Sus scrofa: one gene and its partners. The protein of the gene in region 2 purifies or fractionates together with the protein of the main gene of each other region. This does not show direct contact. Links are inferred from orthologs where the notes say so. Each region holds a gene or a part of one and is shown on either strand. Other genes may lie near its edges.

Region 1 (3,519 bases), on a different chromosome or scaffold from region 2:
CTCCCTTGTAGATGTAAATCAGTTTAGATTATTATAAAATAAAATGTGAGTGGTGTGTGTTTTTCCTGTGCACCTTCTTAATCCATTTTGTTATTATATTATTTAGGGTGGTTTTCCTGAGGAGACCTCAAAAGAAAGAAATCTTGTATCCTGGGAAAGGTAAGAAGTATAAAACATGCAGATCAAAGGGTAATTTTTGAAATACATTTTCTTACATCATGGTTCCTGGGCAGAATTAAAGCTTTCAGTATATTATGCCATGACTATCCAAAGTTATTTATGAATAAAAAATAAATAATAAATTTGAAAATTTTTCAGAATAATTATTTATTATAAAATATGTAAACATAAAAATTTCCAATGTAGCAATACTTTTAAAATAATTATCCAAATAAACATTGACTTAATTATTATTTAATATAGATTATTCCCATGTGTGAGGATTAAGTCAACCAAGGAGAAATACTCACCTGCCAAATATAATAGCTTCCAAAAAGTTAAATAATAACTGAAAAATAATATCAGTGAAATGACAGATGAATAAAATTTGGTTAACATTTTTATCCTATTTTTAGAATTTAAGTGAGTAATTTTGTTTTTTATTTATTTATTTTTGCATTTTAGTGCCGCACCCACGGCATATGGAGGTTCCCAGGCTAGGGGTCTAATCGGAGCTACAGCTGCCGGCCTACACCACAGCCATAGCAACTCCAGATCCAAGCCTTGTCTGCGACCTACACCACAGTTCACCGCAATGCCGGATCTTTAACCCACTGAGCAAGGCCAGGGATCGAATCCACAACCTCATGGTTCCTAGTCGGATTCGTTTCTTTTGTGCCATGACAGGAACTCCTAATTTTATGTTTTTGAAGAAAAAAATTCAATACGTATTTCTTAAATAAGAAGAAAGCCCCATTGTTTTAACTGGTTCTTCTTTTTTACTTATTGTTTTGTTTTTTAACAGCCAAACTCAGCCTCAAGTGCAAGTGCAGGATGAAGAAATTACAGAGGATGACCTTCGCCTTATTCATGAGCGAGAGTCTTCTATTAGGCAACTTGAAGTAAGCTTTATAAAGTTGGACTGCTGCTCTGTTCTTAGTGAGTTTGTCCTGAAAATGCTTAGATGATGCTAGGAGTGAGATCAAAAAAGATAACTAAAGAAATCCATCATTTTGGTGGCACTTTTTATATAAATTAGAATAATTTCTTTTTTTAAAAAACTAGTGATGCTTTAGAATTTCTCCTAGGATGAGATAATGTATTTCCTTCCACTCCAGCTTTTTTTTTTTTTCTTTTTTAATTCTGTTAGGTCATCTGAAGGCTCCTGAGCGTTGAGAAAATATCATCTAGAGATAAATGTTTGCTTAAAGGGTCTGAATGGCTCCTGTGCCATATGATACACGTCACACCTGCATGAATAAGACTTTTTCCAAGGGCTTTAAAAGTATTTTATTTCTTTTTAGTATGTGCAGGATATCAAAGAGGTCTAAAGGGTTCAGTAGCCATAGTTCTTAGAGAACTTTTTCCCTAGAAAATGGGCTAATAATAGCCTACCATTTATTGAGGGCTTCCATGTGCCAAGCACTGTGTGATAAATTCTTTATGTTAACTGTCTCTTTGAGTTGACATATATTCAGCAACCCACAGCCCTTCTCTATTAGCTAGATCCTTCACTTCTGTCCCATGTGGCTTGATATTTTTAACATCACAATCTTATTTTAGAGAACTAGTTACTGTTATTCAAAGTCTGCTTACCTGGGATTGCTTATAGTAAAATAGTTTCCTGTGTGTTATTAAGTCTAGATGCATTCTCACCTGGGTATGAGTGGTGGCTTGGGTTTTTAAAAAATGTTCCCCTTTTGTGGATTGGAGACTGAATTTCTGATAACAAAGTACACTTTTTTCTCTTAGGCTGATATTATGGATATTAATGAAATATTTAAAGACTTGGGGATGATGATTCATGAACAAGGAGATGTAATAGGTAAGCTCTGCTCATTATATTTCGTGAGGTGGAAGCAAGCTCCATGCCGTTTACCTGCTGCAGCTTCTCAAGCCAGAGTAACTCCTTCCTCTCTCTCTTTCGGTCCTCCAACAGACAAAACATCATCCTTGGCAGTATCTAAGACACATCTTGTTTTTGGCTCCTACTGGTTGAAATGACCAGCTGCATTTATTTAAGAAGTCCCAAATTTAATTAGGGTCTGCTGCTGCTGAGCTTATGGAAGGTGCTATGTAGCAGCATTCTAGCTTGTTTCCAGGACCTCTGGTTTCTGCCTTATCCCAGTTTAATTCTCATCACACCAAGGACTTTAGGGGAAACTTCTATTCATAATTGTCTTTGCTACCTGTCTTTTAGAATAGAGGGAATAGGAATAGGTGGCCGTTTGCATGATCCTTTATCCTCATAGCTTTTTTGGTAGATTAATTTAGTAGTATTACTTAGATACTGAGAATTTTTTAAAGAAAAATCAGTGACTAAGACTTCTATTAAGTGTAATCATAATTCATTAAAGGTGTAGTTGTCAACATTGATCAGGATTCTGATCATTTTTATTATTTTGAAATACAAAAATATTAGAGGGTATTGCTAAAGATAGATTTAATGTATTTTCTGAATTTTGGTTCAGTTAAAAATACTTGTATCTACAGTTTAATGTAATTATTATCAGTCCAATCTTACCCTCCTCTGTATCCCCAGTAGATCACAGGGTAAAATTTCCCAAATCATTGTATGTATTTATAGAATGCCTGCTATATCAGGCATAATTCTAGACACTGGGGATTCAGTTAAAATTAAACGACATATAAACAATCTTAAAATCTAGTTGGAGGTGAGAGACAATTTTAAAAAAAAGAAAAGTAAGTAAAGGGTGATAAGTGTTACAAGGAAAATAAGGCCAGGTGGGGGATGGGACTCTGGGTGGTGGGGAATGTGCTGCTTTTCATAGGGGAGTCATATTAGGCCTCACTGATAGGTGACATAATAGTGAAGAATTCACGGAGGTAAGGGAGCAAGCAAGAGAACGTATGCCAGGCAGAGGAAACAGCAGGTACAAAGGCCTCTGGGCAGAAGCATACCTGTCACCTGAGGTGAATGGAATGAGCAGGGGGAGATGGAGACCATGTCAGAAGTCACAGGGGACAGCATCTTGTAGGACCCCGAGCATCATGAGGACTGTCGCTGTTACTAATAGAGGGGAAGCCACGAGAGCGTACGAGCAGAGGAGGGCTGTCATCTGACATAGGCTTTAAGAGGCTCACTTTGCTGGGTCGAGAACAGACTGCAAAGGGACAACCAAAAACAAACCGCTTAAAAGGTTCCTGCAGGAATCCAGGTGAGCAGCTGTGTTGCCTTGGATCAGGATGGAAACAGTCAAGTGGTAAGAAGCAACAGGATTCTGGATATTTTTTTTTTTTTTGGATGTAGAGCCAAAAAGATCTACTGACTGTCTGATAGGGGTGAGAGAGAGTTAATTCAAGGTGACTCTAAGGTTTCGGCCCAGGTCACGATGGTGG
Region 2 (3,519 bases):
TTAGTTTTATATTCTACATAGCACTTAACATAATTCCTTATAGTCATATTGAGTTAATATGTATTAAAGGAATTGCAAAAAGCTAGTTTTAACAGTGTATATGATTGATTCTGCATTAAAATAAAGATGCTATATACTATAGAGCATTCACTGGAAGATTATGTTGCCAAAACTTAATTGGTATTTCATAGTCTTTGGAAGATAGAATTGTGTTCAGCCTGGAGACTCATATTCTGACATGAGTATTGTTTTCGTGGTCATATTAAATCAAAAGGAGTTAATCTATGAACTAAACAATGTTAATAATTTAGAAAATATACTACTTAGAGGAAATTAAATGATTTTTTAAAAAATTAACATTGATAATTTTGGTTCCTTGTTAGAAGAAAGCTTTTGTTTTCCCTGAAATTTTCTTTCTTTGGCACAAATGACAGCTGAATTAAGTGATTTGGACTGTCTAGCTTTATAGATGCTTCATTTTCCCTGAATTGCTGAATTTGAAGAAAAAGCTCATATTCTGATATATAGAATTCTACAGTGGTTTTGGGTAAATATTACCCCATATGCTTTCCACACAAAATAAGTTGACAATATTTGCAATGGTTTGCCAAAATTTTCAGTAGTTTCCAAGATTTAGTAATAGTATATTTATTCAGATATCTTAGAAGTGAAGCCTTTGATGAATTTGTCATATAAAGTGTTTGGTTTGGTTAGTAGTTGTAGCCACTTATTTCATTTAGATTCAACCTCTGTTCTGCATAGCTTCTGGATATGGATAACACCAGCTTGTAAAATTTTTTTCCAATTTTTTATCATACTTTAAAGAAAATACCTTTAGAATCTAATAATTAATTTAGATATATATTCAAAATATTGTCACATTTCTTTAGGAAAATATTACTTATATCTGGATTTGAATTGATAATATGGGAACTTGTATGCATTTTTAAAATGTAAACAAATAAATATGCAAATAAGTGCTGTTGTATTAATAATATAAAGAGAGCAAGAATGTAAGGATAAGAGAACCAGAGAGAAGTATGTACCAAAATCAAAAGATAGACTTAAACATTAGATGAAATCAAAATGAAGAACAGGGAGACAATGTCCATAGTGGGAAAGGAATAGAAATTCTAAATTTATTTTCCATTAATTTCAGTGGGAAAAATATCAAAAGAAGACAGGTATATTTTATATTTTTAGAATATGATTTTATTTGAGAAAATGTTTATGCTTCAAATGACATCATTGTTTTTACTTCATAATACCTAAAACATTTATATAAGCAAAAATGTATATGCTTTCTTCTTTATAGCTTTCCATTGAAATAGGCCATGAAGTTAAACATCAAAATAAATTATTAGCTGAAATGGTAAGTGATTATGATTTTAACATTAGGAAACTTCATCTGATAGTCTCAATTTTGGTTTGGAATAGATCTAAGATTTGTTTTTGCCATATTTTTACACTTTTCATCTTGCCTAACACATATAAGCAGGAGGAGGAGGTGGAAGCCCATGTATTCTTTAATCCTGTGTTTAGAAACAGAATTAGACTCAGGAAAAATCTCTGTTTTGAGCTTTCTTAAAGATCTCAGTGGATGGAGACTGCCAAGTACTCAAAAGTTCTTTATATCCAACCAACAAAATGACTTTCACTTAATGTAAACCTCTTTCTTTTGCTTGATTTCCTGAGGATCACTTGGAACAAGTCAATAAGATTTGAACATAGTAACATTATCTGGAGTCTAAACAAGCCTTTTATCTGGAGTCTAAACAAGCTCAATAACATATACCATTTCTTGTTAGAGGCGCTTTCCATTCTCTAATGTTATTTTGGATGTCAAACTCCTGTGGACCTTCCCTAGTTTCCTCACATGCTTTTAAAATTTATACTATTTAAAAATGTATGTTGCACTAAAAGCAATCTCCTTGCAAAGGTTGTGCATTAGGATCACTTGAGGAACTTTCTGAAAATATTTATGCGTGGTTCTCACTCTAAATATACTGATTCAGGAGTTCTCATTCTGGGCCAGCAGGAACCTCTCTATGCCACAGATATGGCCCTAAAAAGAATGAATGGATGAATAAACAAACCAACACACTGATTCAGAATTTTAGAGGGAGGTACCTAGTTGTCTATATTTTGAAAAAAGCATCTCAGATGCTTCTGATACATAACCCCAATAAGGAACCATAGATCTAAGGTGCTTGAACTACATAGAACCTGAGCTGTACAAAGGTTGTCATTATGCCAGGATGTTAAGATTTATTTGAAAGGGCAATGTTTCTAATCCATACCTGGTCCTCTTAAGGACTTTTTCAGCTATGTTTTAATGTGGTGGTTTTTCCCCATCCATATTTGCCATCTTTGCCACATTTTACCACCTCTAGAATATTCTGTTACCTGTTAATAGACTCTGCTGACCTTCAACGTCAGCTACCTGAAAAAAGGATCTAAAAGTAAAGGTATGTTTAGCTGCTAACCATGTTTAATTTTGGATGAATTGCTGTACTTGGAAGCAGCTAGCCATTTGACCTTGAAGAGCAATGCCCTACCAATAAGTGGGAAAAAACCCGTGTGGGTAGATGAACTACTTGCTTTTATTGTTAATGCTTTTTCATCCACGTAATTAGAGTAAGATCTAAATACTTTGGAATTTTGAATTACTTTGAAGCTGGAAAAAATATTTACTGGATGATGAAAGAGCTTTTTATTTATTGAGAAAATTACTCTATTTTGCATAATCAGGCTGATTATCTAAGTTATAAACAGGCTCTTGAATTAATTAAACACAGAAAATGTCATTAAAAATGTGTTCTAATAACAATATATTAAATTCCTTACATGTGCATATGTAGAATATCAGAATCTAACTACTATATTTTGTTTTCCTTTTCTCCTCATAGGATTCACAGTTTGATTCTACAACTGGATTTCTAGGTAAAACTATGGGAAAACTGAAGATTTTATCCAGAGGGAGCCAAACAAAGCTGCTGTGTTATATGATGCTGTTTTCCTTGTTTGTCTTTTTTGTCATTTATTGGATTATTAAACTGAGGTGATGCAAGTAAGTGTGAGTTTGGAATTTGTTCCAACTTAGGCTTGGAGTACCACTTTGGTAAAAAATCAGCATCTAAACATTCCTAACTTTCAAATACTGTGGCTTTTTCCATTGAAGATTATTGAATTTTACTTGTTTTGTAAGTCACATTAGATAATACAGTGCTCATTGAATACTGTTTCTTAATGATTCCTTTTTTGCCCCTATTTTCAGGGGTATTAAGCTGGTCTGAGGTCAGTCTGGCCCTAACATTTTTCTTTCCTATTTTTTACTGTCAGATTAAATAGCAGTATAGTATTTTGTCATTACCATAAATGTAGGTTTCTGTTCCATGTAAAGAAACTTAGTGGGAGAATAACAGAATGCCTTGAGAGCCTGACAGCGGGCACTTGAAGTGGTGAGCAAGTGTGTGATGGATGGTAAATGTATTTTCCTGAACTGTCATTGCCCCCAGT
Region 3 (3,519 bases), on a different chromosome or scaffold from region 2:
GTCCAAATACTTCTGGAGATGGTCCTGGAAGTTGCCGTCAATCAGGGACCCAGGCTGGGATCCTGTTACGGGCCTCTGAAGGGAAGTTTCCATGCTAACTAAGTGCTGCTACACCTGGAAACCCCCTGCGGGAGGCAGCTGTGTGCACAGAGTGAGTGAGCCTGGCCCGTCAGGGCCATCAGCCCAACCCTTTTAGTTATGATGCTGGGCAGTGGGCTCACTCCACTTGCTGCCAAGGCCCTTCGACGCTCCCACCCCGAAATGACGACATGGCTAGTGAGGCTGACAGTCTTGTTGTAATTGGGAGGAAACGGGCCGCAGCACATTTGGCAGATTGAGAGTCATCTGCAGCCAGAGTTGGGGTTGTGTAGGCAGCCAAAGGGCTCAGGGCCCCTTGCCTCACATGGTGAAGAGAGGAAGAGGTAAATTTTAACCCAGATGGGAAAGTTGGTCCCTGGGGAAGTTTCACTTCCTCTCCTCACTCTCAGGAAGGTGGGGAAGGGCATCATCTCCCCTTGCTGCCAGAGTTGAGAAAGGCTGGGGAGGGTTTATAAAAATCTCCAGTGGAGACAACCTCCCCGAAGAGCCCTCCAGTTGGCCTCTGCTCCCTTCCAGCCACTTCACAGCAGAGTCCAAATCCAGAACCGTGTGTTTCATGGGCCTGAGGATGGTGAGGGGAGGACAGGGTGGCCAGAGGCAAGGAGTGGGAGATCAGGGGCAGTGGCCGTTCTTAGCAGTTCCAGGGAAACAGGGCCTTTCTCCCAAGCACCCTGCACAGGCTCAGTGGCAGCTCTGGCCACCTGCCCTCCCAGGAGGGTTCCAAACCCCCACGGAATGCCTCAGCGTTGGAGAGGGTTCAGGCAAGGAAGACCACGAAGATGATGAAGAAGACAATGAGGATGAGGAAGATTTTGACCATAAGCCACCGGTTGGACGTGACCGACTGGAAGTACTTGAGGATCTCCGAGTGGGCGGCCTCAACGTCCAGCTGGGCTCCTAGCACGTTCTCGTCGATCCTGGAGAGAGGGCCGAGAGGAGGGGAAAAAGAGTGACACTTGATTAAAAGGAATGCTGTTGAAATGTATTTTTGTGTGTGTGTACATGTATTTGTAGATGGGAGAGCTCTGGGAGCTCCCATTGTGGCACACAGTAGGTTAAGAATCCGACTGCATCGGCTCGGGTCACTGCAAAAAACACGGGTCTGATCCCCAGCCCAACGCAGTGGGTTAGGTTAGAGGATCCGGCATTGCCACAGCTGAGGCTTGAATTCAACCCCTGGCCCAGGAACTTCCATATGCTGTGGGTGCAGCCGTTTAAAAAAGAAAAGAGGGGAGTTCCCATTGTGGCTCAGCGGTTAATGAACCCGACTAACATCCATGAGGATGCCAGTTTGATCCCTGGCCTCGCTCAGTGAGTGAGTTAAGGATCTTTTGTTGTCGTGAGCTGTGGTATAAGTCGCAGACGTGGCTAGGATCCTGTGTTGCTGTGGCTGTGGTGTAAGCCGGCACCGACAGCTCCTATTTGACCCCTAGCCTGGGAATCTCCATATGCCGTGGATGCAGCCCTAAAAAGACAAAAGACCAAAACAAAACAAAAAAATATATCTATATTACCCTTCCAGAAAATGCTCTGGAAGGGTAATATAAACAAATCTTGGCTCTGGTTTGAAAATCAGCTCTGTAGCATATGACCCTAAGCCAGTCACTTAACCCCAAGTCTCATTTTCCTCAACTGCAAAGGAGAAAATTCAGATAACACAAACCACACCTCTCTAGCTGCTGTCAGTCTTAAATGAGTAGAGTGCCTAACTCATACTAAAAGGACCCAAAATGTTAGTCATTATAATTTTTTGCACATCAGTATTTATGGATTTTTCTCTGATAAGCAGTATTGCCTTTGTAATAACGGGGGAAAGGTCACAGGCCATTATGGTCAGGAAACCCTGGTTCTGAGTGAGAAAGGAAGAAAAACTTGATGATACGGACAGAAAGGAGATAAAGAAAAGCCCCAGGGGAGTTCCTGCTGTGGCTTAGCAAGTTAACTCAACATAGTGTCTATGAGGAGGCAGATTCGATCCCTGGCCTTGTCAGTGGGCTAAGGATCCCGTGTAGGTCTCAGATGTGGCTCAGATCTGGCATTACTGTGGCTGTGGTGTAAGCCAGCAGCTGTAGCTTCAATTCAACCCCTAGCCCAGGAACTTCCATATGCTGCAGGTGCAGCCATAAAAAGAAAAAAAGAAAAGCCCAAGGGAGTTCCCTGGTAGTCTACCGGTTAAGAACTTGGCATTGTAACTGCTGTGGCTTGAGTTCGATTCCTAGCACGGGAACTTCTGCGTGCCACAGGCATGGCCAAAAAAGAAAGGAAAAGAAAAGAAAAGCCCGATATTAGAACATGTCTCTCAGGATATAGAGAAGTCCTCAGAAGAATGAATGGCAATCTCTTGAGAGGCTGCTGAGGAAAATAAAACATTTCCCAGCTAACGTGCATGTGCAATCCTGAAAACGAAATATGAACCCTGGTCTTTGCAAAGGGAGTCGCAGGGAGCAGAAACCATCGTGCGCTGTGAGGACAGAAAAGTTGGTGAAGGCTGGGAATCAAGTAGGCAAGTGAGAGGAAAGGCTGGGCTGGTGACTGCAAGTCCAAGGTCCTGGGAAGGTGGTCACGAGACTATCAGGTAATCTCTGGCCAAACACTGGAGCATGAATTGTATGATTCCCTGTTTATGTCAGAGAAGCTAACAAACGTATCAGGTTTCCCAGCTTTGGGCTATAATTACATTTCTCAGTGTGGATGCATTTGTCATCCCATAGCCAATAAAGCTCATTCACACTGACAATCATAATGGCTCTGCTTAACAAAAATGGAAAAGCAATCAAATCAATCTGGCATATGGAAGATTTTTATTTTATTTTATTTTTTTGGCCATGCCTAAAGCATGTGAAAATTCCCAGGCCAGGGACTGAACCTGAACCACAGCAGTGACACAAGTGGTTGCAGTTCCAAGGGAACTCCTAAAACATTTCAAATGGGAGACCGTGAATGAAAACTAATACAAGGGAAATCTAGGGGTGATAAAATTAGGCATCAGTGGGATATTCAGAGGAATCAGTAGGGGAGTTAAAAGTCAGAAAGGAATGGGGAGAAAATAATGACTTGGGAGGGAAAAGACTGAGGAAAACAGAGAGGAGAACAGTTCGCAACGTTTTACAGAAAGAAAACCATAGAGGGAAGTAATTAAGCAATAAGAAGCTGGAGTCTTGCTGAACACAAAGGATGGATGATGAAACTGCTATCAGAGGCATGGACAGCCAGAGGACGAGAAGGTAAGTATAAGGTGGGAATGACAAAAAAGGAGTTTGATGGAAGAAGATAGAGAACTCAAGAACTAGAAGGACTATTTGACCATCTGACCGTGCCTAGGAGATCTTGGATTTTAGTTCTTTTGGCTTCAGTTTCCCCAAAACGTCATAATTACTGAGAGTAACTGGATCATGTTCAGTGGATACAGAAGCTGCCTTG

What was found. Proteins that work in one complex are often made in the same cells at the same time.
Region 1: the proteins of BET1 (region 2) and STX7 purify together in Homo sapiens (affinity purification with mass spectrometry; 3 studies listed by BioGRID and IntAct, with this or other methods). This does not show direct contact. The link is inferred for Sus scrofa from reciprocal best matches to the Homo sapiens genes BET1 and STX7.
Region 3: the proteins of BET1 (region 2) and STX5 purify together in Homo sapiens (affinity purification with mass spectrometry; 3 studies listed by BioGRID and IntAct, with this or other methods). This does not show direct contact. The link is inferred for Sus scrofa from reciprocal best matches to the Homo sapiens genes BET1 and STX5.

What each region holds. Positions count from the first base shown.
Region 1 is NC_010443.5:31,226,388-31,229,906, forward strand, and holds part of STX7 (syntaxin-7), read left to right. Parts: intron 1-106; coding exon 107-159; intron 160-964; coding exon 965-1,061; intron 1,062-1,911; coding exon 1,912-1,984; intron 1,985-3,519. UniProt on the Homo sapiens protein: May be involved in protein trafficking from the plasma membrane to the early endosome (EE) as well as in homotypic fusion of endocytic organelles. Mediates the endocytic trafficking from early endosomes to late endosomes and lysosomes.
Region 2 is NC_010451.4:73,782,650-73,786,168, reverse strand, and holds part of BET1 (BET1 homolog), read left to right. Parts: intron 1-1,315; coding exon 1,316-1,372; intron 1,373-2,909; coding exon 2,910-3,065; 3' UTR 3,066-3,519. UniProt on the Homo sapiens protein: Required for vesicular transport from the ER to the Golgi complex. Functions as a SNARE involved in the docking process of ER-derived vesicles with the cis-Golgi membrane.
Region 3 is NC_010444.4:8,965,269-8,968,787, reverse strand, and holds the end of STX5 (syntaxin-5), read right to left. Parts: intron 1,017-3,519; coding exon 857-1,016; 3' UTR 278-856; downstream 1-277. UniProt on the Homo sapiens protein: Mediates endoplasmic reticulum to Golgi transport.